Stegostoma tigrinum: one gene and its partner. The protein of the gene in region 1 purifies or fractionates together with the protein of each later gene. This does not show direct contact. Links are inferred from orthologs where the notes say so. Each region holds a gene or a part of one and is shown in the gene's direction. Other genes may lie near its edges. The genes, in order: rexo4 and rrs1.

What was found.
Region 2: the proteins of rexo4 (region 1) and rrs1 purify together in Homo sapiens (co-immunoprecipitation; 3 studies listed by BioGRID and IntAct, with this or other methods). This does not show direct contact. The link is inferred for Stegostoma tigrinum from reciprocal best matches to the Homo sapiens genes REXO4 and RRS1.

The regions. Positions count from the first base shown.
Region 1 is NC_081382.1:43,856,849-43,871,168, reverse strand, and holds the start of rexo4 (RNA exonuclease 4), read left to right. Parts: upstream 1-6,539; 5' UTR 6,540-6,595; intron 6,596-6,643; exon of another isoform or gene 6,644-6,691; intron 6,692-8,972; exon of another isoform or gene 8,973-9,009; intron 9,010-12,315; exon of another isoform or gene 12,316-12,353; intron 12,354-12,588; coding exon of another isoform or gene 12,589-12,688; intron 12,689-13,220; coding exon of another isoform or gene 13,221-13,432; intron 13,433-14,320.
Region 2 is NC_081358.1:31,721,623-31,735,877, reverse strand, and holds rrs1 (ribosome biogenesis regulatory protein homolog), read left to right. Parts: upstream 1-8,870; 5' UTR 8,871-8,966; coding exon 8,967-9,956; 3' UTR 9,957-11,483; downstream 11,484-14,255. UniProt on the Homo sapiens protein: Involved in ribosomal large subunit assembly. May regulate the localization of the 5S RNP/5S ribonucleoprotein particle to the nucleolus.

The DNA.
Region 1 (14,320 bases):
TGCTGAGGGAGAGGGCGCTGTCGGAGGGTCAGTGCTGAGGGAGCGGGCACTGTCGGAGGGTCAGTGGTGAGGGAGCGGGCGCTGTCGGAGGGTCAGTGCTGAGGGAGCGGGTGCTGTCGGAGGGTCAGTGCTGAGGAAGTGGGCGCTGTCTGAGGGTCAGTGCTGAGGGAGCGGGCGCTGTCGGAGGGTCAGTGCGGAGGGAGCGGGCACTGTCGGAGGGTCAGTGCGGAGGGAGCAGGCACTGTCGGAGGGTCAGTGCTGAGGGAGCGGGCGCTGTCGGAGGGTCAGTGCTGGGGGAGCGGGCACTATTGGATGGTCAGTGCTGAGGGAGAGGGCACTGTAGGAGGGTCAGTGCTGAGGGAGTGCTGCACTGTCTGAGGGTCAGTGCTGAGGGAGCGGGCACTGTTTGAGGGTTAGTGCTGAGGGAGTGGGCGCTGTCGGAGGGTCAGTGCTGAGGGAGCGGGCGCTGTCGGAGGGTTAGTGCTGAGGTAGCGGGCGCTGTCGGAGGGTCAGTGCTGAGGAAGTACCGGGCTATCGGAGGCTCATTGCTGAGGGAGTGGGCACTGTCGGAGGGTCAGTTCTGAGGGACTGGGGGCCGTCGGAGCGTCAGTAGTGAGGGAGTGGGCACTGTCGGAGGGTCAGTAGTGAGGGAGCGCCGCACTGTCGGAGGGTCAGTGCTGGGGGAGCAGGCACTATTGGATGGTCAGTGCTGAGGGAGCGGGCACTGTCGGAGGGTCAGTGCTGGGGGAGCGGGCACTATTGGATGGTCAGTGCTGAGGGAGAGGGCACTGTAGGAGGGTCAGTGCTGAGGGAGAGGGCACTGTAGGAGGGTCAGTGCTGAGGGAGTGCTGCACTGTCTGAGGGTCAGTGCTGAGGGAGCGGGCACTGTTTGAAGGTTAGTGCTGAGGGAGTGGGCGCTGTCGGAGGGTCAGTGCTGAGGGAGCTGGCACTGTTTGAAGGTTAGTGCTGAGGGAGTGGGCGCTGTCGGAGGGTCAGTGCTGAGGGAGCGGGCACTGTCGGAGGGTCAGTGGTGAGGGAGCGGGCGCTGTCGGAGGGTCAGTGCTGAGGAAGTGGGCGCTGTCGGAGGGTCAGTGCTGAGGGAGCGGGCACTGTCGGAGGGTCAGTGCTGAGGGCACGGACGCTGTCGGAGGGCCAGTGCTGAGTGACTGGGCACAGTCGAACGGTCAGTGCTGAGGGACTGCCTCACTGTCGCAGGGTCAGTGCTGAGGGAGCGCCGCACTGTCGGAGGGTCAGTACTGAGGGAGTGGGCACTGTTGGAGGGTCAGTGCTGAGGAAGTGCCGCACTGTCGGAGGGTCAGTGCTGAGGGAGCGGGCACTGTCGGAGGGTCAGTGCTGAGGGAGTGCTGCACTGTCTGAGGGTCAGTGCTGAGGGAGCGGGCGCTGTCGGAGGGTCAGTGCTGAGGGAGCGGGCGCTGTCGGAGGGTCAGTGCTGAGGGAGCAGGCACTATTGGATGGTCAGTGCTGAGGGAGAGGGCACTGTCGGAGGGTCATTGCTGGGGGAGCAGGCACTATTGGATGGTCAGTGCTGAGGGAGAGGGCACTGTCGGAGGGTCAGTGCTGAGGGAGCGGGCACTGTCGGAGGGTCAGTGCTGGGGGAGAGGGGAATATTGGATGGTCAGTGCTGAGGGAGAGGGCACTGTCGGAGGGTCAGTGCTGAGGGAGCGGGCACTGTTTGAGGGTTAGTGCTGAGGGAGTGGGCGATGTCGGAGGATCAGTGCTGAGGGAGTGCCGCACTATCGGAGGGTCAGTGCTGAGGGAGTGCTGCACTGTCTGAGGGTCAGTGCTGAGGGAGCGGGCGCTGTCGGAGGGTCAGTGCTGAGGGAGTGGGTGCTGTCGGAGGGTCAGTGCTGAGGAAGTGGGCGCTGTCTGAGGGTCAGTGCTGAGGGAGCGGGCGCTGTCGGAGGGTCAGTGCTCAGGGAGCGGGCGCTGTCGGAGGGTCAGTGCTGAGTGACTGGGCACAGTCGGACGGTCAGTGCTGAGGGACTGCCTCACTGTCGGAGGGTCAGTGCTGAGGGAGCGCCGCACTGTCGGAGGGTCAGTACTGAGGGAGTGTGCACTGTTGGAGGGTCAGTGCTGAGGAAGTGCCGCACTGTCGGAGGGTCAGTGCTGAGTGAGTGGGCACTATCGAAGGGTCAGTGCTGTGGGAGCGGGCGCTGTCGGAGGGCCAGTGCTGAGGGACTGGGGGCTGTCGGAGCGTCAGCAGTGAGGGAGTGGGCACTGTTGGAGGGTCAGTAGTGAGGGCGTGCCTCACTGTCGGAGGGTCAGTGCTGAGGGAGCGCCGCACTGTCGGAGGGTCAGTGCTGAGGGAGAGGGCACTGTCGGAGGTTCAGTGCTGTGGGAGTGGGCACTGTCGGAGGGTTAGTGCTGAGGGAGTGGGCGCTGTCGGTGGGTCAGTAGTGAGGGAGTGGGGGCTGTCGGAGGGTCAGTAGTGAGGGAGTGCCTCACTGTCGGTGGGTCAGTGCTGAGGGAGCAGGCACTGTCGGAGGGTCAGTGCTGAGGGAGCGGGCACTGTCGGAGGGTCAGTGCTGAGGGCACGGACGCTGTCGAAGGGTCAGTGCTGAGTGACTGGGCACAGTCGGACGGTCAGTGCTGAGGGACTGCCTCACTGTCGCAGGGTCAGTGCTGAGGGAGCGCCGCACTGTCGGAGGGTCAGTACTGAGGGAGTGGGCACTGTTGGAGGGTCAGTGCTGAGGAAGTGCCGCACTGTCGGAGGGTCAGTGCTGAGGGAGCGGGCGCTGTCGGAGGGTCAGTGCGGAGGGAGCGGGCACTGTCGGAGGGTCAGTGCGGAGGGAGCGGGCACTGTCGGAGGGTCAGTGCTGAGGGAGCGGGCGCTGTCGGAGGGTCAGTGCTGCGGAAGTGGGCGCTGTCTGAGGGTCAGTGCTAAGGGAGCGGGCGCTGTCGGAGGGTCAGTGCTGAGGGAGCGGGCGCTGTCGGAGGGTCAGTGCTGAGGGAGCGGGCACTGTCGGAGGGTCAGTGCTGAGGGAGGGGGCACTGTCGGAGGGTCAGTGTGAGGGAGGGGGCACTGTTGGCGGGTTAGTGCTGAGGGAGGGGGCACTGTCGGAGGGTCAGTGCTGAGGGAGCAGGCGCTGTCGGAGGGTCAGTGCTGAGGGTGCGGTTGCTGTCGGAGGGTCAGTGCTGAGGAAGAGGGCGCTGTCTGAGGGTCAGTGCTGCGGGAGCGGACACTGTCGGAGGGTCAGTGCTGAGGGTGCGGGCACTGTCGGAGGGTCAGTGCTGAGGGTGCGGGCACTGTCGGAGGGTCAGTGCTGAGGGAGTGGGCGCTGTCGGAGGTTCAGTGCTGAGGGTGCGGGCACTGTCGGAGGGTCAGTGCTGAGGGAGTGGGCGCTGTCGCAGGGTCAGTGCTGAGGGAGTTTGCACTGTCGAAGGGTCAGTGCTGAGGGAGCGGGCGCTGTCGGCGGGTCAGTGTTGAGGGAGCGGGCGCTGTCGGAGGGTCAGTGCTGAGGAAGTACCGCACTATCGGTGGCTCATTGCTGAGGGAGTGGGCGCTGTCGGAGGGTCAGTTCTGAGGGACTGGGGGCTGTCGGAGCGTCAGCAGTGAGGGAGTGGGCACTGTTGGAGGGTCAGTAGTGAGGGCGTGCATCACTGTCGGAGGGTCAGTGCTGAGGGAGCGCCGCACTGTTGGAGGTTCAGTGCTGAGGGAGAGGGCACTGTCGGAGGTTCAGTGCTGGGAGAGCGGGCACTGTCGGAGGGTCAGTGCTGAGGGATTGGGCACTGTCGGAGGGTCAGTGCTTTGGGAGCAGGCACCTTTGGAGGGTCAGTGCTGTGGGAGTGGGCACTGTCGGAGGGTTAGTGCTGAGGGAGTGGGCACTGTCGGTGGGTCAGTAGTGAGGGAGTGGGGGCTGTCGGAGGGTCAGTAGTGAGGGAGTGCCTCACTGTCGGTGGGTCAGTGCTGAGGGTGCGGACGCAGTCGGAGGGTCAGTGCTGAGGGAGCGGGCACTGTCGGAGGGTCAGTGCTGAGGGCACGGACGCTGTCGGAGGGTCAGTGCTGAGTGACTGGGCACAGTCGGACGGTCAGTGCTGAGGGACTGCCTCACTGTCGCAGGGTCAGTGCTGAGGGAGCGCCGCACTGTCGGAGGGTCAGTACTGAGGGAGTGGGCACTGTTGGAGGGTCAGTGCTGAGGAAGTGCCGCACTGTCGGAGGGTCAGTGCTGAGGGAGCGGGCACTGTCGGAGGGTCAGTGCTGAGGGAGTGCTGCACTGTCTGAGGGTCAGTGCTGAGGGAGTGGGCACTGTTGGAGGGTCAGTGCTGAGGAAGTGCCGCACTGTCGGAGGGTCAGTGCTGAGGGAGCGGGCACTGTCGGAGGGTCAGTGCTGAGGGAGCGGGCGCTGTCGGAGGGTCAGTGCTGAGGAAGTACCGGGCTATCGGAGGCTCATTGCTGAGGGAGTGGGCACTGTCGGAGGGTCAGTGCTGAGGGAGCGGGCACTGTCGGAGGGTCAGTAGTGAGGGAGCGCCGCACTGTCGGAGGGTCAGTGCTGGGGGAGCAGGCACTATTGGATGGTCAGTGCTGAGGGAGCGGGCACTGTCGGAGGGTCAGTGCTGGGGGAGCGGGCACTATTGGATGGTCAGTGCTGAGGGAGAGGGCACTGTAGGAGGGTCAGTGCTGAGGGAGCGGGCACTGTTTGAAGGTTAGTGCTGAGGGAGTGGGCGCTGTCGGAGGGTCAGTGCTGAGGGAGCGGGCGCTGTCGGAGGGTTAGTGCTGAGGTAGCGGGCACTGTCGGAGGGTCAGTGCTGAGGGAGCAGGCACTGTCGGAGGGTCAGTGCTGAGGGTGCGGGCGCAGTCGGAGGGTCAGTGCTGAGGGAGCGGGCACTGTCGGAGGGTCAGTGCTGAGGGCACGGACGCTGTCGGAGGGTCAGTGCTGAGTGACTGGGCACAGTCGGACGGTCAGTGCTGAGGGACTGCCTCACTGTCGCAGGGTCAGTGCTGAGGGAGCGCCGCACTGTCGGAGGGTCAGTACTGAGGGAGTGGGCACTGTTGGAGGGTCAGTGCTGAGGAAGTGCCGCACTGTCGGAGGGTCAGTGCTGAGGGAGCGGGCACTGTCGGAGGGTCAGTGCTGAGGGAGTGCTGCACTGTCTGAGGGTCAGTGCTGAGGGAGCGGGCGCTGTTGGAGGGTCAGTGCTGAGGGAGCGGGTGCTGTCGGAGGGTCAGTGCTGAGGAAGTGGGCGCTGTCTGAGGGTCAGTGCTGAGGGAGCGGGCGCTGTCGGAGGGTCAGTGCTGAGGGAGCGGGCGCTGTCGGAGGGTCAGTGCTGAGGGAGCGGGCACTGTCGGACGGTCAGTGCGGAGGGAGCGGGCACTGTCGGAGGGTCAGTGCTGAGGGAGCGGGCGCTGTCGGAGGGTCAGTGCTGAGGAAGTACCGCGCTATCGGAGGCTCATTGCTGAGGGAGTGGGCACTGTCGGAGGGTCAGTGCTGAGGGAGTGCCGCACTATCGGAGGGTCAGTGCTGAGGGAGTGCTGCACTGTCTGAGGGTCAGTGCTGAGGGAGCGGGCGCTGTCGGAGGGTCAGTGCTGAGGGAGCGGGTGCTGTCGGAGGGTCAGTGCTGAGGGAGAGGGCGCTGTCGGAGGGTCAGTGCTGAGGGAGCGGGCACTGTCGGAGGGTCAGTGGTGAGGGAGCGGGCGCTGTCGGAGGGTCAGTGCTGAGGGAGCGGGTGCTGTCGGAGGGTCAGTGCTGAGGAAGTGGGCGCTGTCTGAGGGTCAGTGCTGAGGGAGCGGGCGCTGTCGGAGGGTCAGTGCGGAGGGAGCGGGCACTGTCGGAGGGTCAGTGCGGAGGGAGCAGGCACTGTCGGAGGGTCAGTGCTGAGGGAGCGGGCGCTGTCGGAGGGTCAGTGCTGGGGGAGCGGGCACTATTGGATGGTCAGTGCTGAGGGAGAGGGCACTGTAGGAGGGTCAGTGCTGAGGGAGTGCTGCACTGTCTGAGGGTCAGTGCTGAGGGAGCGGGCACTGTTTGAGGGTTAGTGCTGAGGGAGTGGGCGCTGTCGGAGGGTCAGTGCTGAGGGAGCGGGCGCTGTCGGAGGGTTAGTGCTGAGGTAGCGGGCGCTGTCGGAGGGTCAGTGCTGAGGAAGTACCGGGCTATCGGAGGCTCATTGCTGAGGGAGTGGGCACTGTCGGAGGGTCAGTTCTGAGGGACTGGGGGCCGTCGGAGCGTCAGTAGTGAGGGAGTGGGCACTGTCGGAGGGTCAGTAGTGAGGGAGCGCCGCACTGTCGGAGGGTCAGTGCTGGGGGAGCAGGCACTATTGGATGGTCAGTGCTGAGGGAGCGGGCACTGTCGGAGGGTCAGTGCTGGGGGAGCGGGCACTATTGGATGGTCAGTGCTGAGGGAGAGGGCACTGTAGGAGGGTCAGTGCTGAGGGAGAGGGCACTGTAGGAGGGTCAGTGCTGAGGGAGTGCTGCACTGTCTGAGGGTCAGTGCTGAGGGAGCGGGCACTGTTTGAAGGTTAGTGCTGAGGGAGTGGGCGCTGTCGGAGGGTCAGTGCTGAGGGAGCGGGCACTGTTTGAAGGTTAGTGCTGAGGGAGTGGGCGCTGTCGGAGGGTCAGTGCTGAGGGAGCGGGCACTGTCGGAGGGTCAGTGGTGAGGGAGCGGGCGCTGTCGGAGGGTCAGTGCTGAGGAAGTGGGCGCTGTCGGAGGGTCAGTGCTGAGGGAGCGGGCACTGTCGGAGGGTCAGTGCTGAGGGCACGGACGCTGTCGGAGGGCCAGTGCTGAGTGACTGGGCACAGTCGAACGGTCAGTGCTGAGGGACTGCCTCACTGTCGCAGGGTCAGTGCTGAGGGAGCGCCGCACTGTCGGAGGGTCAGTACTGAGGGAGTGGGCACTGTTGGAGGGTCAGTGCTGAGGAAGTGCCGCACTGTCGGAGGGTCAGTGCTGAGGGAGCGGGCACTGTCGGAGGGTCAGTGCTGAGGGAGTGCTGCACTGTCTGAGGGTCAGTGCTGAGGGAGCGGGCGCTGTCGGAGGGTCAGTGCTGAGGGAGCGGGCGCTGTCGGAGGGTCAGTGCTGAGGGAGCAGGCACTATTGGATGGTCAGTGCTGAGGGAGAGGGCACTGTCGGAGGGTCATTGCTGGGGGAGCAGGCACTATTGGATGGTCAGTGCTGAGGGAGCGGGCGCTGTCGGAGGGTCAGTGCTGAGGAAGTACCGCGCTATCGGAGGCTCATTGCTGAGGGAGTGGGCACTGTCGGAGGGTCAGTTCTGAGGGACTGGGGGCTGTCGGAGCGTCAGTAGTGAGGGAGTGGGCACTGTCGGAGAGTCAGTAGTGAGGGCGTGCCTCACTGTCGGAGGGTCAGTGCTGAGGGAGTGCTGCACTGTTGGAGGGTCAGTGCTGAGGGAGTGGGCACTGTCGGAGGGTCAGAGCTGGGGGAGCAGGCACTATTGGAGGGTCAGTGCTGAGGGAGCGGGCACTGTCGGAGGGTCAGTGCTGGGGGAGCGGGCACTATTGGATGGTCAGTGCTGAGGGAGAGGGCACTGTAGGAGGGTCAGTGCTGAGGGAGTGCTGCACTGTCTGAGGGTCAGTGCTGAGGGAGCGGGCACTGTTTGAGGGTTAGTGCTGAGGGAGTGGGCGCTGTCGGAGGGTCAGTGCTGTGGGAGCGGGCGCTGTCGGAGGGTTAGTGCTGAGGTAGCGGGCACTGTCGGAGGGTCAGTGCTGAGGGAGCAGGCACTGTTTGAGGGTTAGTGCTGAGGGAGTGGGCGCTGTCGGAGGGTCAGTGCTGAGGGAGCGGGCGCTGTCGGAGGGTCAGTGCTGAGGGAGTGCTGCACTGTCTGAGGGTCAGTGCTGAGGGAGCGGGCGCTGTCGGAGGGTCAGTGCTGTGGGAGCGGGCGCTGTCGGAGGGTCAGTGCTGAGGGAACGGGTGCTGTCGGAGGGTCAGTGCTGAGGAAGTGGGCACTGTCTGAGGGTCAGTGCTGAGGGAGCGGGTGCTGTCGGAGGGTCAGTGCTGAGGGAGCGGGCACTGTCGGAGGGTCAGTGGTGAGGGAGCGGGCGCTGTCGGAGGGTCAGTGCTGAGGGAGCGGGTGCTGTCGGAGGGTCAGTGCTGAGGAAGTGGGCGCTGTCTGAGGGTCAGTGCTGAGGGAGCGGGCACTGTCGGAGGGTCAGTGCCGAGGGATCGGGCACTGTCGGAGGGTCAGTGCTTTGGGAGCGGGCACCTTTGGAGGGTCAGCGCTGAGGGAGCGGGCACTGTCAGAGGGTCAGTGCTGGGGGAGCGGGCACCGTCGGTGGGTCTGTGCAGAGGGAGTGGGCACTGTCGGAAGGTCAGTCGTGAGGGCGTGCCTCACTGTCGGAGGGTCAGTGCTGAGGGAGCACCGCACTGTCGGAGGGTCAGTACTGAGGGAGTGGGCATTGTTGGAGGGTGAGTGCTGAGGGAGCGGGTACTGTCGGAGGGTCAGTGCTGAGGGAGCGGGCGCTGTCGGAGGGTCAGTGCTGAGGGAGCGGGTACTGTCGGAGGGTCAGTGCTGAGGGAGCGGGTGCTGTCGGAGGGTCAGTGCTGAGGAAGTGGGCACTGTTGGAGAGTCAGTGCTGAGGGAGTGGGCACTGTTGGAGGGTCGGTGCTTGGGGAGCGGGCACTGTCGGAGGGTCTGTGCAGTGGGAGTGTGCACTGTCGGAGGGTCAGTAGTGAGGGCATGCCTCACTGTCGGAGGGTCAGTGCTGAGGGAGCACCGCACTGTTGGAGGGTCAGTGCTGAGGGAGCGGGCACTGTCGGAGTGTCAGTGCTGGGGGAGCGGGTACTATTGGAGTGTCAGTGCTGAGGAAGTGCCGCACTGTCGGAGGGTCAGTGCTGAGGGAGTGGGCACTGTCGGAGGGTCAGTGCTGAGGGAGCGGGCGCTGTCGGAGGGTCAGTGCTGAGGGAGCGGGTGCTGTCGGAGGGTCAGTGCTGAGGAAGTGGGTGCTGTCGGAGGGTCAGTGCTGAGGGAGCGGGCACTGTCGGAGGGTCAGTGCTGAGGGAGCGGGGGCTGTCGGAGGGTCAGTGCTGAGGAAGTGGGCGCTGTCGGAGGGTCAGTGCTGAGGGAGCGGGCACTGTCTGAGGGTCAGTGCTGAGGGAGCGGGCGCTGTCGGAGGGTCAGTGCTGAGGGAGCGGGCGCTGTCGGAGTGTCAGTGCTGAGGGAATGGGCGCTGTCGGGTGGTCAGTGGTGAGGGAGTGGGCACTGTCGGAGGGTCAGTAGTGAGGGAGCGGGCGCTGTCGGAGGGTCAGTGCTGAGGGAGCGGGCGCTGTCGGAGTGTCAGTGCTGAGGGAGCGGGCGCTGTCGGAGTGTCAGTGCTGAGGGAGCGGGCACTATTGGATGGTCAGTGCTGAGCGAGGAGGTAGTGTGGAGGGTCAGTGCTGAGTGACTGGGCACTGTCGGACGGTCAGTGCTGAGGGAGCGGGCGCTGTCGGAGGGTCAGTACTGAGGGAGTGGGCACTGTTGGAGGGTCAGTGCTGAGGGAATGGGCGCTGTCGGGTGGTCAGTGGTGAGGGAGTGGGCACTGTCGGAGGGTCAGTAGTGAGGGAGTGCCTCACTGTCGGAGGGTGAGTGCTGAGGGAGCGCCGCACTGTCGGAGGGTCAGTGCTGAGAGAGTGGGCGCTGTCGGGTGGTCAGTGGTGAGGTAGTGGGCACTGTCGGAGGGTCAGTAGTGAGGGAGTGCCTCACTGTCGGAGGGTGAGTGCTGATGGAGTGCCGCACTATCGGAGGGTCAGTGCTGAGGGAGCGGGCACTGTCGGAGGCTCATTGCTGAGGGAGTGGGCGCTGTCGGAGGGTCAGTTCTGAGGGACTGGGGGCTGTCGGAGCATCAGTCGTGAGGGAGTGGGCACTGTTGGAGGGTCAGTAGTGAGGGCGTGCCTCACTGTCGGAGTTTCAGTGCTGAGGGAGCGGGCACTGTCGGAGGGTCAGTGCTGGGCGAGCGGGCACTAATGGATGGTCAGTGCTGAGGGAGCGGGCGCTGTCGGAGGGTCAGTGTTGAGGGAGCGGGCGCTGTCGGAGGGTCAGTGCTGAGGAAGTGCCGCACTGTCGGAGGGTTAGTGCTGAGGGAGTGGGCGCTGTCGGAGGGTCAGTGCTGAGGGAGTGGGCGCTGTCGGAGGGTCAGTGCTGAGGGAGTGGGCACTGTCGGAGGGTCAGTGCTGAGGGAGCGCCGCATTGTTGGAGGGTCAGTGCTGGGGAGCGGGCACCGTTGGATGGTCAGTGCTGAGGGAGGAGGTACTGTGGGAGGGTCAGTGCTGAGTGACTGGGCACTGTCGGACGGTCAGTGCTGAGGGACTGCCTCACTGTCGCAGGGTCAGTGCTGAGGGAGCGCCGCACTGTCGGAGGGTCAGTACTGAGGGAGTGGGCATTGTTGGAGGGTGAGTGCTGAGGGAGCGGGTACTGTCGGAGGGTCAGTGCTGAGGGAGCGGGTGCTGTCGGAGGGTCAGTGCTGAGGAAGTGGGCACTGTCGAGGGGCAGTAGTGAGGGAGTGCCTCACTGTCGGAGGGCCAGTGCTGAGGGAGCAGCGCACTGTTGGAGGTCAGTGCTGAGGGAGCGGGCACTGTCGGAGGGTCAGTGCTGGGGGAGTGGGCACTGTCGGAGGGTCAGTGCTGGGGGACCGGGCACCGTCGGAGGGTCTGTGCAGTGGGAGTGGGCACTGTCGGAGGGTCAGTAGTGAGGGCGTGCCTCACTGTCGGAGGGTCAGTGCTGAGGGAGCGGGCACTGTCGGAGGGTCAGTGCTGGGGGAGCGGGCACTGTCGGAGGGTCAGTGCTGGGGGAGCGGGCACCGTCGGAGGGTCTGTGCAGAGGGAGTGGGCACTGTCGGAAGGTCAGTAGTGAGGGCGTGCCTCACTGTCGGAGGGTCAGTGCTGAGGGAGCACCGCACTGTTGGAGGGTCAGTGCTGAGGGAGCGGGCACTGTCGGAGGGTCAGTGCTGGGGGAGCGGGCACTATCGGATGGTCAGTGCTGAGGAAGTGCCGCACTGTCGGAGGGTCAGTGCTGAGGGAGCATGGGCTGTCGGAGGGTCAGTGCTGAGGGAGCGGGCACTATTGGATGGTCAGTCCTGAGGGAGGAGGTAGTGTGGAGGGTCAGTGCTGAGTGACTGGGCACTGTCGGACGGTCAGTGCTGAGGGACTGCCGCACTGTCGGAGGGTCAGTACTGCGGGGGTGGGCACTGTTGGAGGGTCAGTGCTGAGGGAGTGGGCGCTGTCGGGTGGTCAGTGGTGAGGGAGTGGGCACTGTCGGAGGGTCAGTAGTGAGGGAGTGCCTCACTGTCGGAGGGTGAGTGCTGAGGGAGTGGGCACTGTCGGAGGGTCAGTGCTGGGGGAGCGGGCGCTGTCGGAGGGTCAGTGCTGAGGGAGCGGTTGCTGTCGGAGGGTCAATGCTGAGGAAGTGGGCGCTGTCTGAGGGTCAGTGCTGAGGGAGCGGGCGCTGTCGAAGGGTCAGTGCTGAGGGAGCGCCGCACTGTCGGAGGGTCAGTGCTGAGGGAGCGGGCACTGTCAGAGAGTCAGTGCTGAGGGAGTGCCTCACTGTCGGAGGGTCAGTGGTGAGGGAGCGCAGCACTGTCGGAGGGTCAGTGCTGAGGGAGCGGGCACTGTCGGAGGGTCAGTTCTGGGGGAGCGGGCACTGTCGGAGGGTCAGTGCTGGGGGAGCGGGCACTATTGGAGGGTCAGTGCTGAGGAAGTGCCGCACTATCGGAGGGTCACTGCTGAGGGAGCAGGTGCTGTCGGAGGGTCAGTGCTGAGGGAGCGGGCACTATTGGATGGTCAGTGCTGAGGGATGAGGTAGTGTGGGAGGGGCAGTGCTGAGTGACTGGGCACTGTCGGATGGTCAGTGCTGAGGGCCTGCCGCACTGTCGGAGGGTCAGTACTGAGTGACTGGGCACTGTCGGACAGTCAGTGCTGAGGGACCGGGCACTGTCGGAGGGTCAGTGCTGAGGGAGCGCCGCATTGTTGGAGGGTCAGTGCTGAGGGAGCGGGCACTGTCGGAGGGTCAGTGCTGGGGGAGCGGGCACTATTGGATGGTCAGTGCTGAGGGAGGAGGTACTGTCGGAGGGCCAGTGCTGAGGGAGCGGGCGCTGTCGGAGGGTCAGTGCTGAGGGAGCGGGCGCTGTCGGAGGGTCAGTGCTGAGGTAGCGGGCGCTGTCGGAGGGTCAGTGCTGAGGGAGCGGGCACTGTCGGAGGGTCAGTGCTGAGCGAGCGGGCACTGTCGGAGGGTCAGTGCTGAGGGAGCGGGCGCTGTCGGAGGGTCAGTGCTGAGGGAGCGGGCGCTGTCGGAGGGTCAGTGCTGAGGGAGCGGGCTGTCGGAGGGTCAGTGCTGAGGGAGCGGGTACTGTCGGAGGGTCAGTGCTGAGGGAGCGGGCACTGTCGGAGGGTCAGTGCTGAGGGAGCGGGCACTGTCGGAGGGTCAGTGCTGAGGGAGCACGGAATACGTTCCCCCAGGTCCCAGGGAACCTCTGGAACTCTCAGTCTGAGTAAGTTGAAGGTGGTGCAGGTGAACGTGGCGTCTCCCAATTGTGCTGCTTTAGCAATTGCAGCAGCAGGACCGACCTGCAGCTGTGGGTTTGCTTGGAGACCGGAGCCCGATCCTGGCCATGTCGCTGCCCGGCAGGTACTGACGAGTTACATTCCTGTCCTGCAGATATACATTGCGGAGATCTCCGTGGCCAAGATGAGAGGGAGGATGGGAGTTGGACCCCAGATCATGCTTGTGCTTGGAACGCTCCTGCTGTACGCACTGGGTGAGGAATTCCACAGATTGGGAATCTACTTGTTGCGGTCCAATTCTGTACAATGGCACTGAGGAAGATCTTTCCCGGCTGTAGCCAGGAGGTCCGCTCTCGGGCCGACCTGGCCAGGGACTGACCATCACATTGGCCTGTTAGTCCGTACTGGAACACAGGAGCAGGACTGAGCCATTCGGCCCTTCAAGTGGCTGGTCATCATCAAGCGACCAAAGGGGTTGAGGGATCAATGAGAAGTCATTTGGTTCTATTGCAGTGAGGTTCCCAGTTAGCTCTGGGATGGAGAGTACTCGAACATCTTCCAGAAAAGTTCCCGGCTGCAACACCCCGTACCAAGTGTGTGTTAGCACAGCAACGTCTGCAAAGCAGCAGAGTCTGAGTGACTGGGCAAAAGGGCTCATCCCTTGGGATTGGAGGGAATGTGGAGGGAGTGGCTTGATGGTCCAAGTCGGGTCAATGTGTGGAGATAATTGGGGGAAGATGTTGGTGAATGAAGTCCATTTAACACAGAATCCTTGTCACCCATCAGCCCTGGTGCTGTCCTGGCGATGGCTGGCAGTAGTTGGCGCCTTTATCCCCGTGGTCATGATCACCCTCATGTGGTACATGCCAGAGTCTCCTCGCCATTTAATCTCCAAACGCCGCGATACTGAAGCCATCGAGGCACTGGCTTGGCTTCGAGGCCCTGACGCCAACTACCAGCTCGAGTACAAAGAGATCGAGGACTCGCTCAGCCGCGACGTAAGTTGTTGTTGTCTTCAGCTGGCACTGAAACGTCATTCGCTGCTTTACCGTCTCTTCCCACCTTCACCGATTGGGCCTCACGTAGGACACGGTCTCCATGGAGACCAGCAACCCCCTCACCCTCAACCTCAACCTCACCCTCACCCTCAACCTGACCCTCACCCTCACCCTCACCCTCACCCTCAACCTGACCCTCACCCTCACCCACACCCACACCCTCACCCTCACCCACACCCTCAACCTGACCCTCACCCTCACCCTCACCCTCACCCTCAACCTGACCCTCACCCACACCCTCACCCTCAACCTCACCCTCACCCTCACCCTCAACCTGACCCTCACCCTCACCCACACCCTCACCCTCACCCTCACCCTCACCCTCACCCTCAACCTCACCCTCACCCTCACCCTCAACCTGACCCTCACCCACACCCTCACCCTCACCCTCACCCTCACCCTCAACCTCACCCTCACCCTCACCCTCACCCACACCCACATCCTCACCCTCAGCCACACCCTCACCCACACCCTCACCCTCAGCCACACCCTCACCCACACCCTCACCCTCACCCTCAGCCACACCCTCACCCACACCCTCACCCTCACCCTCACCCACACCCTCACCCTCACCCTCACCCTCACCCAAACCCTCACCCTCACCCACACCCACACCCTCACCCACACCCACACCCACACCCTCACCCTCACCCTCACCCTCACCCACACCCTCACCCACACCCTCACCCACACCCTCACCCTCACCCTCACCCACACCCTCACCCTCACCCACACCCTCACCCTCACCCACACCCTCACCCACACCCACACCCTCACTCTCACCCACACCCTCACCCTCACCCTCACCCTCACCCACACCCTCACCCT
Region 2 (14,255 bases), on another chromosome or scaffold:
CAGCCCTCTACCTGTGTTGCAGTGGGAAATGGGACAGCAATGGACAAATGTTCAAATATGAATCATTTAGAAAGTTCTCCCAAAAGGCTTTTATCACTTCCACTGTGGAGCTAGACTCCTGCATTCTCTCCGCTTGTGATTGGAGAGTGACTGACCTGCCAAAGTGCCAAGAATCTCAACACACAGTGTCATCAGTGTTGTTCAATCCAATGATGTCCTCGTCTGAGTCCACTGCAATAGGATTGACTTCACTGTTCAGGAAGTTTGCACACGAGCCAATTTTTGCTGGCTGCACCCTATCTCTGCCCAATTACTCACCGTATCCAGATCCTGACCCTATTCTGAGGTGCACACGATGCCACTGTGTGTGCTGGCTGTTTGAAGAGTAAGGTCAAATAATGGCGTCCCTGCATCAGTGGTCTGTTCTTGCCTTTGCCCTCCATTTTAAGGCTCTAGTGGCTGACCAGGTAGGAATTCCCAACTACAGTATCTAGAAGTGCTGGGGTGATCACAGGTTACTGAAGGGAGGGCATGGAGCAATGCAAGAAATCCACATTCACTCCACCTGCAATTTCTGTTTCATGTCACCTTTCAGCACAAGATTGAAGAATAAATGGAGGAGATTGCATATTCTCATCGGCCTTGCCTTCACCAACTGCCATTAGTGCTGTGGCATTATTGTCAATAATTCTAAGGACCATCTACTCCAGGGTGCTGAAGGAATACATCGATGTATGGCCCCTGCGACAGTCCTAGGGATTCTTGCCATCTGTAAGAGAGATAGAGAGAGACTACCTGTGAAAGGGTTTCGATAATCACTATGGATGATATGCTCGACATAACAAATAATTTACAGAGGTACGTAGAGATATGAGTACAATTGTCATGATTGGAGGCGTATGTGGATGAGGTTTGGAATAAGAATGTTAGAGCTAGTTCTCTCTGAGAGAGGAGAAAAGTGTTTAATGATAACCATGAAACACAAGATGGAAACAGCAGAGCTGCAGTGTTCAAGCTTCAGTATGGTTTCCTTTTTTTCTCTCACTTTTGCTTTTTTCCTTTTTTCTTTGAAGTCCATTTTTGTTGGAACATCAGGAGGCTGAGGGGTGACCTCAAAGAGGTTTATAAAATCATGAGGGTCATGGATAGGGTAAATATACAAGGTCTTTTCCTCAAGGTGGGGAAGTCCAAAGATAAAGGGCTTAGGTTTAAAGTGAGAGGGGAAAGATTTAAAAGGGACATGAGGGGCAACATTTTACATGGAAGATGGTGCCCGTAATGGAATGAGTTGCCAGAAAAAGTAGTGGAGGCGGGTACAGTTACAACATTTAAAAGGCATCTAGAGGGGTATATGAATAGGAAGGGTTTGAGGGATATGGGCCAAATATTGGCAAATGGGACTAGATTTATTTAGGATTTCTGGTCGGTTTGGAGGAGTTGGACCAAAAGGTCTGTTTCAGTGCTGTGTATCTCAATGACTCTATGCCTTTTCTCTTAACTTTTCAACTCGGTTGTAGCAGCATCGGCAAGAGTGGGCCTTGTCCAGAATGGTGGGCGAAGATGGCAGCACAGGCCCAAGGAGAGGCGAGGCCAGGTAAATGTTGAAGGAGGAGGCATCTGGTGGTGGCCGCAGCAATGCCAGGACAAGATGGGCACAGCTCCACCCAGCCCGCTGTTTCCCGGTGAGTGAGGAGCAGGTCACAAGCTTAATCCCCTTGGTCTTGGCTTGCAGGATGAGACAAGGCTTCAGGTCCACAGCCAGGCCCAGGTGCCCGATGGCGGATGTGGCAACAGTTTGGTTCCAGTACAGGGCCCTGCAATACCGACAGCAGTTGCATTGGCAAGATCCAGCCCAGCATGAACACATGGCAGCAGTAGAGTTGGTGGAGGCGAGATGGTAGCGGACAGTGGCGAGTGTTTGTTCCGCAGGTGGCGATGTGGTGAAGCGCAGTTACAGCACCGTCACCGGTTTAGCAGTAGGGACTCGAGGTATCGGCATGGAGGAAACCAAATCCAGGCCCATTGCTGAGCTAGAAGTAGGAGCTGTTCCAAAGGCCATCAAACTTTCTGAGATTAAAACATAAGATGAACGTTATTGTTTTATTTTTCTGGCTTTATATTCCGTGTTTTGGATTATTTTCTGTGTTTTGAAAAGGCACCTGAGAGTGGCAACGGTAAATAATGCTTTTCACTGTATTTGTAATAAATACAGCTGACAATAATTAAAATCAAATCTTTGCTGATTGTCAGGAAAAACCCATCTGACCCACTCATGTTCTTTAGAGAAGGATATCTGCCATCCTTATCTAGTCGGGCCTGTGTGTGACTCCAGACCCACAGCAATATGGTTGACTCTTAACTGCCATTTGGGGCAATTAGGAATGGGCCAGCCAGGGATGCTCACATCTCATCGATGAGTAAAATAAAGTGCTGGGATAGATTATCTTGGGTGCTGAGAGGGGCATGTTTGAGATGCAATGTACAAGACCATCCAAGTGCTTCAACCACCCAGGTGAGGTCTTTTCACAGTGTCCTAGGAGTAACATTCTCAATCACCCTGTCCACAAATTCCTGTTCCATATAGGGCTTGCTATGGACATTTCCCATCCCTGGCTTATTTCCTTGCCTTCACCCCTCGAATGGGGTGCATTCAGACTGGTGTCACTAAAGTAGGACTTTCCTTTTTCCTCCTTCAATACAGAAATGTTATCATCCAACAATCTGCGGTGCAGTACTGCAATTTCCCTTTATCTGGGGACCAGGTGTTTGAAAGGCAAAGGCAGCCTGAAACAAAAAATGTTCCTCATGATGTTGTCAGCCCTTTGCAGCACCTAGATGAACCAACAGCACGGGGCGGGGGTGGGGTGGGGGGGTCCACGATTAAAGTGGGCGTTGCATTTATTGGGATAACAAGGTTTGTCCATGAACATGATGTGCTGCCCAGCTCAGTTCCAACTAGCACGGGAAGATCACAAATAACAAGTGACATTGGCAATTCTGTCAGCCCTATCCCAATTCTAAGGTGATTTAACAGTGGCAAGTTTGAAAGCACGTAAAGTAACCCGTTCTCAAGGGGTGGGTTTGTGATTTTCTAATTTGAAGTGGAGCTCCATTCCTTCGGCAGCCATTTGATTATAACACTGGTTGTTCAGGTTTCCAAGCATTCAGGAACTTCTCAGATAAAGGGCAGGAGGGCTGCCGGATCTAAAAGCTTATGGTTTATATCACACTCATGGCAGCGCCAGGCAGAACAAGAACGCCACAGCCCCTCAAACAAAACTTCTGCTGTACTGAACAAACTGTCACCTCCTCCCCACACTCCAGTAACACCACATATCCCAGTCACCCCTCCTTCTCAATTCAAAACTCACCGTATGTCAGAGCATCTCCACCCACCCGCAGAGTTTCTCAGTCCCCAGCCTACTCCTGGATTTCCTGCCCAGCAGCTGGCTAATCTGGCAGGCAATGAAGTATAAAGCTAATAATATAGTGGTGCCGCTAAATTTGGCAGAACACAAGAACATAGAACAGTGCAGACCAAAAGAATTGCAGATGCTGTAAATCAGAAACAAAAACAGGATCCATATCCCTCTATTTCCTTTCTATTCATGTATTGGTCCAGCTTCTTGAATGATGCTATTGTATCCCTATTTCTACCACCTCCTCTGGCAGTGCGTTTCAGGCACTCACCACCCTTTGTGTGAAAAACTTGCCTTGCATATCTCTTTTAAACTTCGCACCCCACTCCACACCTTGAACCTGTGTCCCCTAGTAATTAACCCCTCCACCCCTCATAGTTTCCACTCTGTCCATGCCATTCACAATTTTTATAAACTCCAACAGGTCGTACTACAACATGCTGTGTTCCAGTGAAAACAAACCCGGTCTATCCAACCCTTCTTCATAGCTAAATCTCCCTTACCAGGCAACATTCTGGTAAAACTTTACTGTACCCTCTCCAAAGTTTCACATCTTCCCGGTCATGCAGTGACCAGACTATATGCAAAATTCCAAGTGTGGCCTAACTAAAGTTATGTAAAACTGCAGCATAACTTGTCTATCCTCACACTCAACACCCCTTCCATTGAAAACAAGCATGCCATAGGCCCTTATTTATTACCTTCAGTGATCTGTGGACCTACACACCCAAATCCCTCTGCGTATCAATACTCCTAAGGGTTCTGCCATTCACTGTTTAATTTCCACCTGTACTCGACCTTCCAAAATGCATCACATCACATTTGTCCAGATTAAACTCCATCGGCCATTTTTCTGTCCGCACCCCCAACTCGTCCATAAACTGCTGTATCCTCCGACAACCTTCTTCACAATCCGCAACTTCACTAATGTTTGTACAATCTGCAAACTTACTAATTAGACCAGCTACATTTTCCTCCGAATCATTTATGTAGATCACAAACAGCAGAAGTCCCAGCACTGATCCCTGTGGAACATCACTGGTCACAACTCTCCATTCCGAAAAGCATCCTTCCACAGCTACCTGCTTCCGTGTGTTCACAGTATTTCCAGGCCTCCCCCAGCTCTCTTTCCACATCAGCTACCAGCTGGTGCCCAGATTCCCTCCTTGAAACTATCCATTGATTCGAAAAACCAAAGGTTTATCTCCACCATTTGTTGGCAAAGTGCAACTGCATCATAGATATCACGAACATTTATAATCAACATAGACTGGCGCACATCAGTCTCCTTGTAGCTTCAAAACTGCAATACGGTTTCGAAACTGATTTCATTTAATGATTGCTGGCCAGTATTTCTCATTCTTGCTGCCATGTTTCAACTTTTAAAAGCAGTGGTATCAGAGACATCCTGAACCAAACATTTTGCATTATTTATTACCACAATAACATAACAAACAGAGATTATCACTTGGAGTGCATTAATTGAATCTGTGATGCATCAATTATAAGATTTTTAAAAAGCCTCTTCTTCATAGTGGCATTGATTTAGTAAGTTTTTCAGAGAGGTCAACATTGAAGATATCACTACAATAATATTGGTATAATTTTTTTAAAAATAGGAGGACTTTGGAAAAGCCCATTAATGGGAGGGATGTTTCTGATAACTTGTGACTTTCTTCAAAATTTTTCTTAATTCTTATGTTTTTCTAAATATATTTTCAGTAATCCCTTCCCTGTAGCAAAGTTGGCCATGCAGCTAGTTTGCAATAGAGTGACACCATCAGCATGGATTCAGTTCCTACATTGGCTGAGGTTACCATGAAGAACTCGCATTCTCAGTTTCTCCTCTCCCATGGGGTGTGGTGTCCCTCAGGTTAAACTGCTACCAATCACCTCTCTCTTTCTTAGATAACAAGGTGTGGAGCTGGATGAACACAGCAGGCCAAGCAGCATCTTAGGAGCACAAAAGCTGATGTTTCGGGCCTAGACCCTTCATCAGAAAAGGGGGATGGGAAGAGGATTCTGAAATAAATAGGGAGAGAGGGGGAGGCGGACCTCCCTGTTTATTTCAGAATTCTCTCCCCATCCCCCTTTTCTGATGAAGGGTCTAGGCACAAAACGTCAGCTTCTGTGCTCCTAAGATGCTGCTTGGCCTGCTGTGTTCATCCAGCTCCACACCTTGTTATCTCAGATTCTCCAGCATCTGCAGTTCCCATTATCTCTGATACAGTTTGGAATTAGATACCTGTTCCTTCAGTATTGTTGAATTAAACCTCCTTCCCAACTGAGGGAGTACATACAATAAATAAACTGCAGCAGTTCAATAATGAGGTTCATTACCAACGTGTCAGGGACAAGTCGGGATGGACAACAAAGCTGCACTTTCATCCCTTGACAGTAAAATAAACAACTCAATTTCCCTTAGCAAATAAAATAACACCGAGAAAAACAAAACTTTAACTGTGAGTGAGTGTGTGAATCCTGAGATTGGGAATGAGCTAAACAGATAGGCATGTTCAGAAGCCCCCTACTACATGCCTCCTATTATTGTCTGTACATGTGGCTAGTTTCAACCTAAAATGATAAAATATTTATTGCTTACAGCTAATTAATTTTTATGGATGTTTTCTGTAAATTTCAAAGGTCCAGGTTCAAAACAGTGGAGGCTTTCTTTCCATAATAATTAACAATCTTGTTGTATATTACAATCTGGCAAAGTAGTGTTTGCAAAGTGTGTCATACTGAACTGTGAGCTATCTGGGATTTACGAATAGATGGTGGTTTGTCAGGGTTCATGATCACAGTTACTCACTGTAGGCTGTGGATGATTTCGAGCAATTTTCTAATTGTTTATTGAAGTAACAGCAGTTTACAGATAGTACAATATGGGTGTGTGTGCCTTGGGGAGGAGGCGTTTAAGAATGTTTTGGTGGGGGGGTAGGTGGAGGGTAGGAGATGAATGTGGGAAGGGGAAGGGGTTGTGCGGGGTGGGAGGGTGGATGGAGGTGGGGAATGGGTTGTAAACCAAGGGAAGTACGCGGAGGTGGTTGGTGTGGGGTGCTTTGGGGTGTGTCAGGGTAGGTGCTGGGGTATATGAGGGTAAGTTGGAAGGGTGGACAGGGGGTGTGTGGGGGGGGAGGGGGATTGTGAGGCAGATGGGGTGTGTCAGGGTGGGTTCAGTGGGGTGGTGTGGAGGTGGGGTCTATGAGGGGGATCCGTGTGGGGGGAGGGCGGTTGTGTGCAGGGGTGTGGGTGGATTCTATGTGGGAGGATGGGGTGTATGTGGGGGAGGTGGAGTGCATGAGGGTGGGGGGGGGTTGGGGATGTGTGAGGACATAGATTGTGTCAAAGGAAGAGATAGGTGTGTGCGGAGTGGATGTTGTGCATGTATGAGGCAATGGGTGTGGGGTTGTGTGCGGGGAGGGTTGGTGTGGGACTGTGTGCGGGGGAGGGGATGTAGAGGTGTATGTGTGGGGGGTGGATGTGGGGCTATATGGAGGGCAGAGGTTGTAGGGCGGTATGGGGAGCGGGGGGTGTTGGTTGAGTTGTGGGGCTGTGTGGAGACGTGTGAGGGGGTGAGAAGATGTGTTCGGGGAGGGGTTGTGGGTGGGGGATGGGTGTGAGGCTGTGTGTGTGTGTGTGTGTGTGTGTGTATGTGTGTGGATGTGGGTATGCGGGGATTTGTGTAGGTAAGGGTGTGTATGGGGGGTGTATGGGGGTTGTGTGAGGGAGTATGGGGAGAGTGTGTTCGTTGATAGGGGGATGTGGGGGTTGTCTGATGGGGTATGTGTATGTGGGGGGACGGGGTGCGGGCAGGGTGTGTGTGTGGGTGGGGAGATGTGGGAGGTATGTCTGTGGAGGGGTCTGTGTATGTGGGGGGAGGGGTGTGGGGAAGTTGTGTGAGGGGATGTGGGGAGGGTGTGTGAGGGGGTGTGGGGAAGGTGTGTCTGGGAGGTATGGGTGTGTATGTGGGGGGAGGGTGTGTGAGGGGGTGTGGGGAAGGTGTGTGGGTGAGGGTGTGTGTATGTGCGGGGAGAGTGTGTGAGGGGGTGTGGGGAGGTGTGGGTAAGTGTGGGAGTGTATGTGGGGTGAGGGTGGGTGAGGGGGTGTGTGGGTGTGTATGTGAGGGGGGAGTGTGTTGGGGGGGTGTGGGTGTGTATGTGGGGTGAGGGTGGGTGAGGGGGTGTGTGGGTGAGGGTGTGTATGTGGGGGGGAGGGTGGGTGAGGAGGTGTGTTGGGGGAGGGTGTGTGGGGGGTGTGTGTGAGGGGGTGTGGGCAAGGGGGGTGTATGTGAGGGGGTGTGGGTGAGGGGGGTGTGGGTGAGGGGGTGTGGGTGAGGGGGAGGGTGTGTGGGGGGGTGTGGGTGTGGGGGAGGGTGTGTGAGGGGGGTGTGGGTGTGGGGGAGGGTGTGGGTGTGGGGGAGGGTGTGTGAGGGGGGTGTGGGGGTGGTGGGGAGGGTGTGTGAGGGGGTATGTGGGTGAGGGTGTGTGTGTCAGAGGGGGGGTGTGGGTGGGGGGGAGGGTGTGTGAGGGGGGTGTGGATGGGTAGAGGGTGTTTGAGGGGGGTGTGGGTAGGGGGGAGGGTGTGGGAGGGGGGGTGTCGGAGGGGGGGTGTGGATGGGGGGGAGGGTGTGGGAGGGGGGGTGTGGGTAGGGGTGAGGGTGTGGGAGGGGGTTGTCGGTGGGGGGGAGGGTGTGTGAGGGGGGTGTGGGTGGGGGGAGGATGTGTGAGGGGGGTGTGGGTAGGGGGGAGGGTGTGGGAGGGGGGTGTGGGTAGGAGGGAGGGTGTGGGGGGTGTCAGGGGGGGGTGTGGGTGGGGGGGAGGGTGTGTGAGGGAGGTGTGGGTGGGTGGAGGGTGTGTGAGGGGGGTGTGGGTAGGGGGGAGGGTGTGGGAGGGGGTGTCGGAGGGGGGGTTTGGGTGGGAAGGAGGGTGTGTGAGGGGGGTGTGGGTAGGGGGGAGGGTGTGGGAGCGGGGTGTCGGAGGGGGGGTGTGGGTGGGGGGGAGGGTGTGTGAGGGGGGTGTGGGGAGGATGTGTGGGGAGGATGTGTGAGGGGGGTGTGGGTAGGGGGGAGGGTGTGGGAGGGGTGTGTGGGTAGGAGGGAGGGTGTGGGGGGGTGTCGGAGGGGGGGTGTGGGTGGGGGGAGGGCGTGTGAGGGGGGTGTGGGTAGGGGGGAGGGTGTGGGAGGGGGGGTGTGGGTGGGGGGGGTGTGTGTGGGGGGGGTGTGAGTAGAGGGGGAGGGTGTGGAGGGGGGTGTCGGAGGGGGGGGTGTGGGTGGGAGGGAGGGTGTGTGTGGGGGGGGGGGTGTGTGAGGGGGGTGTGGGTAGGGGGGAAGGTGTGGGAGGGGGGGGTGTGGGTGGGGGGGGGGGTGTGTGTGGGGGGGGGTGCGTGGGGGGTGTGAAGAGGATAGGGGTGGGGCGTCTATGTGACGTATTTGTGGGCGGGGTTGATGGTTCCCGCCTGCTGCTGCTCCGGCTGTTGGAGATCACGTGGCGAGCGGTCGCAGATAGTGACGCCAATGAGCAGAGGCGGAAGTGACGGAAGGCGAAGATGGCGGTGGCGGTGGAAGAGCTGGTGGCCGAGGCCGAGCGCTTGATCCGGGTGGACCGGCCTCTGGAGTTGGAGCTGGACCTGGGCAACCTGACGGCGCTGGATGCCAACCCGCTCAATTCGAGCTTGTGCCGGCAGGAGGCCGAGGCTTGGCTGCGCTCCCTTGCCCGGGACAACACGCAGCTGCTGCTTAACGCCGTCTGGCAGCTGCCGAGCGAGAAGCTCCAGGAGGGGATCGTGGCCTTGCTGCCCCCGCCCAGTACCCTCATCCCCCGGGAAAAAGCGGTGCCCAAACCCCGGCCGCCTACCCGCTGGGAGCAGTTCGCCAAACTGAAGGGCATCCGGAAGAAAAAGAAGAGCAACTTGGTGTGGGACGAGAGCAGGAAAGAGTGGCGCCGCCGCTGGGGCTATCAGAGAGCCAACGATGAGACCAAAGAGTGGGTCCTGGAAGTACCCGAGTCCGCTGACCCCAGTGAGGATCAGTTCGCCAAACGTGTCGCGGCTAAGAAAGAGCGAGTGGCCAAGAACGAGCTGAACAGGCTGCGGAACATCGCCAGGGCTCAGAAGCACAAGGTGCCCGGTGTCGGTCTGGCCCCCACCCAGCAACAGAGCAAAGCCGAGCTCAGCAAAGCCATTCGCGTGGCGAGAACCTCCACCGCTTCGGTTGGCAAGTTTCAGGACAAGCTCCCCAAGGAACAGGAGGCGAGGAACACCGGCAAGAGGAGGAAGTTCCAGCCCATCGTCGGAGACTTCTCGGCGGAGAAGCAGAAGCAGCTAGACCTTCTCAATGTTATGTCCAGCAAGAAACCCAAACTGGATCTCACGAAGGCTGTCAATAGACAACTTCGAGAAGACGATCAGGAGCAGGCGGCAAAACGAAAGAAAATGCGGCCTAAGGGCAGGAAAGGAGGGAAAAATCACAATCGAAATAATAGGGGAAAAGGTCAGCATCGGAAATCGGGGATGAAGCAGCAAGGAAAGAGAAAATGAGCCATATTGAACTGTTGTTAAATACGGTGCTCCTTGATTTTAAAGAACATTCTAGTTTTGAGAGGGCCTACCTTTGTTTCTTTATTAATTGTGGCCTGATAATTTCTTGCGTTCTGACAGTTTTTTTGTTTTTCATGAACTTAAAATAAAGTGTTTTGTATTTCTTTTGCTATGTGCATCTGAGTGACTATATGTGATGGGACTTGTGCAGAGAGAGCTTAAATTGTACCTGTGGCCAATTGTTTGTATGGCAGAAAGTTCATTACCAGAATTGTCTAGCCAGCAATCCTGTTGACCACTTTGAAAGGGGATTCATTGAAATTATTTTATGTTGTAAGACACTGCATTATGATTAGCAACACAACTAAATGTTGTTAATCTTTTGGAACAGTAGAGTATGTAAGGAAAGCACCAAACCTTTCAATGTGAGTTGGCAGCTCAGTTCCAGTGTGGAGTGGCCTTTTGTCCTCAGGTTAATTATGTCTATGGTTATTTGAAAATACTTGTAGATGACAACTTTAACTCTCCTCAAAGTAAAGGAGCAAATTACTACAGATGTTGGAATCTGTAACTGGAAACAATAAAATGTTGGAGATCATGGTGGGTCAGGCAGCATCCATGGAGACAGAGCAAGTTAGCATTTCAAATCCAGAGCCTCAAAATAGTCTCTCTCTCTGGAAATCCAGTCCATGAGTTTATAGGTTATGATTTCTATCTCCAACAAATAGAAAGGAAGAACTTGTATTTCTATAGTGCCTGCATATATCATCGGATCAAAACCAGTATATTATTTTTTTAAAAACTGTGAATGCTGTAAATTAGAAACCAAAGCAAAAATTGGTGGAAAAGCTCAGTTGGTCTGTCAACACCTATGGCGAGAAATTGGTGTTAACATTTGGGTCCTTTGATACTTCCTCAGAACTCCAGGACCAAAAGGTTAACACTGATTTCACAAGTTCTGCTAGACCTACTGAGCTTTTCCAGCATTTTCTGTTTTTGACAGTATTTAAGAAATTGTCTTCACCAGTACTGACTGTAGACTGTCGTGTACTCTAAAGGTATTCCTGTTACTAAACTTGACTATAGCGTATCAACTGTTTTTGTAAAGTTGTTTTATTTATCGCTGTAGTACCTCATTTGGAGTTTGGGATTTTTGTTTTACACAAATTGCTTGTGTAGCTGAGTATGCAAATAATATATTCACTGTAAAACCCCTTATAATGCCAAAGGATAATGAGGCAAGTCTTGAAATTTTCAGTTCACTTTTCAGTTCACTTTTCAATTCAGTTACTCCTGAATTGTATCCTTTGGTTGTCAAACATATTTATAAAGCATGAATTGCAGTCTGGGGTTAAAATATTTTGAAGCGCAGCAAGTTTTTCTTTTCTATAAATTATACCATGTGGAAAATTAAGAACTATAGGTAATGTAAACTGACAAAATGCCGGAATACTGTTTCAAAATTAACAGCACACCAGAAGAAAGGTAGCGATGTCCACGTAATTAAAACAGTTCTGTTTAATTTCACACCTGACTCCCTGGTTTACATCTTTTCAATTTTCTGACATTTTGCTTGTTAACCATTTACACAAACTTTTTTCCTCAATGGGATTATAAGCAGGTGAAAGAGCAGACCATTTGAGCCGGCATGGAAAATGAGTATAATCTTCAGAGCTCAATGACAGGGAAGTTTGGTGAATGGGAAAGGAAATGTTTGTTATGGGCCCTTTCCATGCAGTAACGATGGGGTCTCGCTGCACTACAGGGAGAAACGTTGGTTAGTTTCTGGTAAACAGTTGAGATCCACTGTTTTCTTAAAATTTAACATAGCATACAAATTGTCGGTAAGTTAAAATATGTAACGCATCAAATTAATAAAGTGGTTAATTAAATAATTAAAACCCATTAGGAATGATAGGACAAGTGATGTGTGAAAACTACAGTACGTGGGAGTTCCTGGATACCCTTGTGATCTAGGGCATTTGACTTATTGTCACATGTATCAAGATTTGGTGAAAAGTGTTGTTTTGTGTGCTAACCAGACAAATCATAAGTACATCAGGGAAACAGAATTGAATGCAGAGTATAATAGTATAGCTGCAGACAAGGATCAACAGTAATGTATGAGACGTCCATCCATAGTTTGAGCAACTATAGCTGAGATTTTGGACACTAAAGCAGGAAGGGGGAAGGTACCTTGATTCTTTTTCTCAGGAAGCAGTCATGCCATTTGTGATGGGGTCTTCTGACTTGGGAAATGGCCAGGGAGTTGACTCTGAGTGAGGCAGGTAAGAAAACCCAGCATAGGCGTTCAGGAGTGTCAATCTCTGAAAGTATCCATTAGAATCAGCTAGTTTGGCTAACCAACAGAAAGCAGACGATCAAGATAAATTGGTTTTTTCTAATTGGCAAGAGGTAACTAGTGAGTGCCACAGAGTTCGGTCCCCGGGTTCCAACTATTCACAATCAATATTAATAAATTGGATGTGGGGATAGAAAGTAAGATAACCAAATCTGCAGACGACACAAATTGGTGGGAAAGCAAGTTGCAATGTGGGGCAATATAGAATGAGAGGTCATTGTTTTAGGATAAGGGATAACAGTTTGAAAACAGCAATAACTTCTCTCGGAGGGTCATTAATCTGGAATTTGCTCCCAAGAGTGCAGTGGATGCTGAAACATTGAGGAAATTTGAGGAATTAGTAGATTTTTTTGTTAACATTGGGTTGAAGGGTTACAGACAGCAGGCAGGAATCTGGAGTTGAGGCTGAGATGAGATCAGCCATGATCGTATCACATGGTGGAGCAGGCTCAATGGGCTGAATTGCCTTCTCCTGATCGTAGGTCTTGTGTTCTTATGTTCTCTGTAGAGATTACTAAGGCTAGGCACCAGATTTAAAAATCATGACCCCAAAGGTTACAAACTCTGGATTATTAAATGGGCTGTGTGCAAATTGGTATATGGTACATACAATTAGAGAGATGAATATATAGCTCAAAGACTTACGTGGGAGAAGTGCATTCTGGTTCATGGTTCATTGACACTAGTACTGGGGCGAATGCGCACTGTATCATTGGAATGGCCTATACAGGAATTGTACTCTGACCATTCCAAATAACAGAAAGGGTTTTAAACAAAATTATTGGGGTTATGGGATAAAATTTGGTGGGATGTGGTATATCAAATAGTAAAGGCAAGACAAGAAAGGGAAATAGTAATGTGGGAAATGAGGATCAGAGAATGGCAAGAAGGGATTGAGAGAAAAGAAAGGAATATGCCAACAATCAAGATTTTAAAAATGGTAGCAAAGACAAAACTAAAATTTCCAATTCAATGTATATAGCGTTCCTAACAAAGTAAATACATTTATTGTGCTTGTTGAAGTAAAAACCAATGAATTGCTGGCTAAAAAAGCGATGTAGCTGCAGAATGACCAGGCTTGTATCTTGAATATTAACATTCAAGAAGATTAGGATGCAGACAGTAACTGGTTTGCAAATAGGTTCTCTTCTTGAGTCTGTTCACAAGCTGATTTGTGTGCATGTCAGAACACAATGCAGAACAATATAAAATAGGTGTTCATAAGTCAAAGGAAGTGTTGGTATGACAGATCTTTAAAATTAATACAACCCTGTATGAGATTGCATTCGTAAATCGAGGATCACCTGTATTAGGTAAAGGTGGAGGGGTAGCTCTGTTAACCAATAATGATATCTGTGCAGGAATAAGAGATTACTTGATTTAGGAAATTAGGACATAGAATCTCTTTGGGTGGACATACAGAATAGTAGGAGAAGGAAGTCACCAGTGGGGTTGGTCAACAACCCACCATCCCCTGATGATAACCACAGTGTAGAACAAAGCACGCAAAAAGAAATGTTGGGAGATTATGGTAAGGGGATGACAATAATATTGGGTGAGTTTAGACATAAACAGGAAAAAATCAGATTGGTAATAGTAGCTTGGATGATGAGTCCATAAACATAATCTTGAAATCATTCTAAAGCAATGTTTCTCAACCAGCAGGATGTGTCCTACCTGTAGTCATATCTTTATGAACGAGTCTTCCCTGTAATGACAACTATTAGAACCATCTTCAATTTGAAACAGCTCTTTGCTGTTTCAAACATTAAACTGCTCATGTGACGCCCTTTTCAAAAAGGGAGGGAGGCAAAAGGTGGGTAATTATAGGCTGATTAACCTAATATCGATTGCTGGAAAAGTATTGGATTCTATTATTGAGGAAGCAATAGCAGAACATTAGGAAAATCAATTCAATCAGACAGAGTCAGCACAGC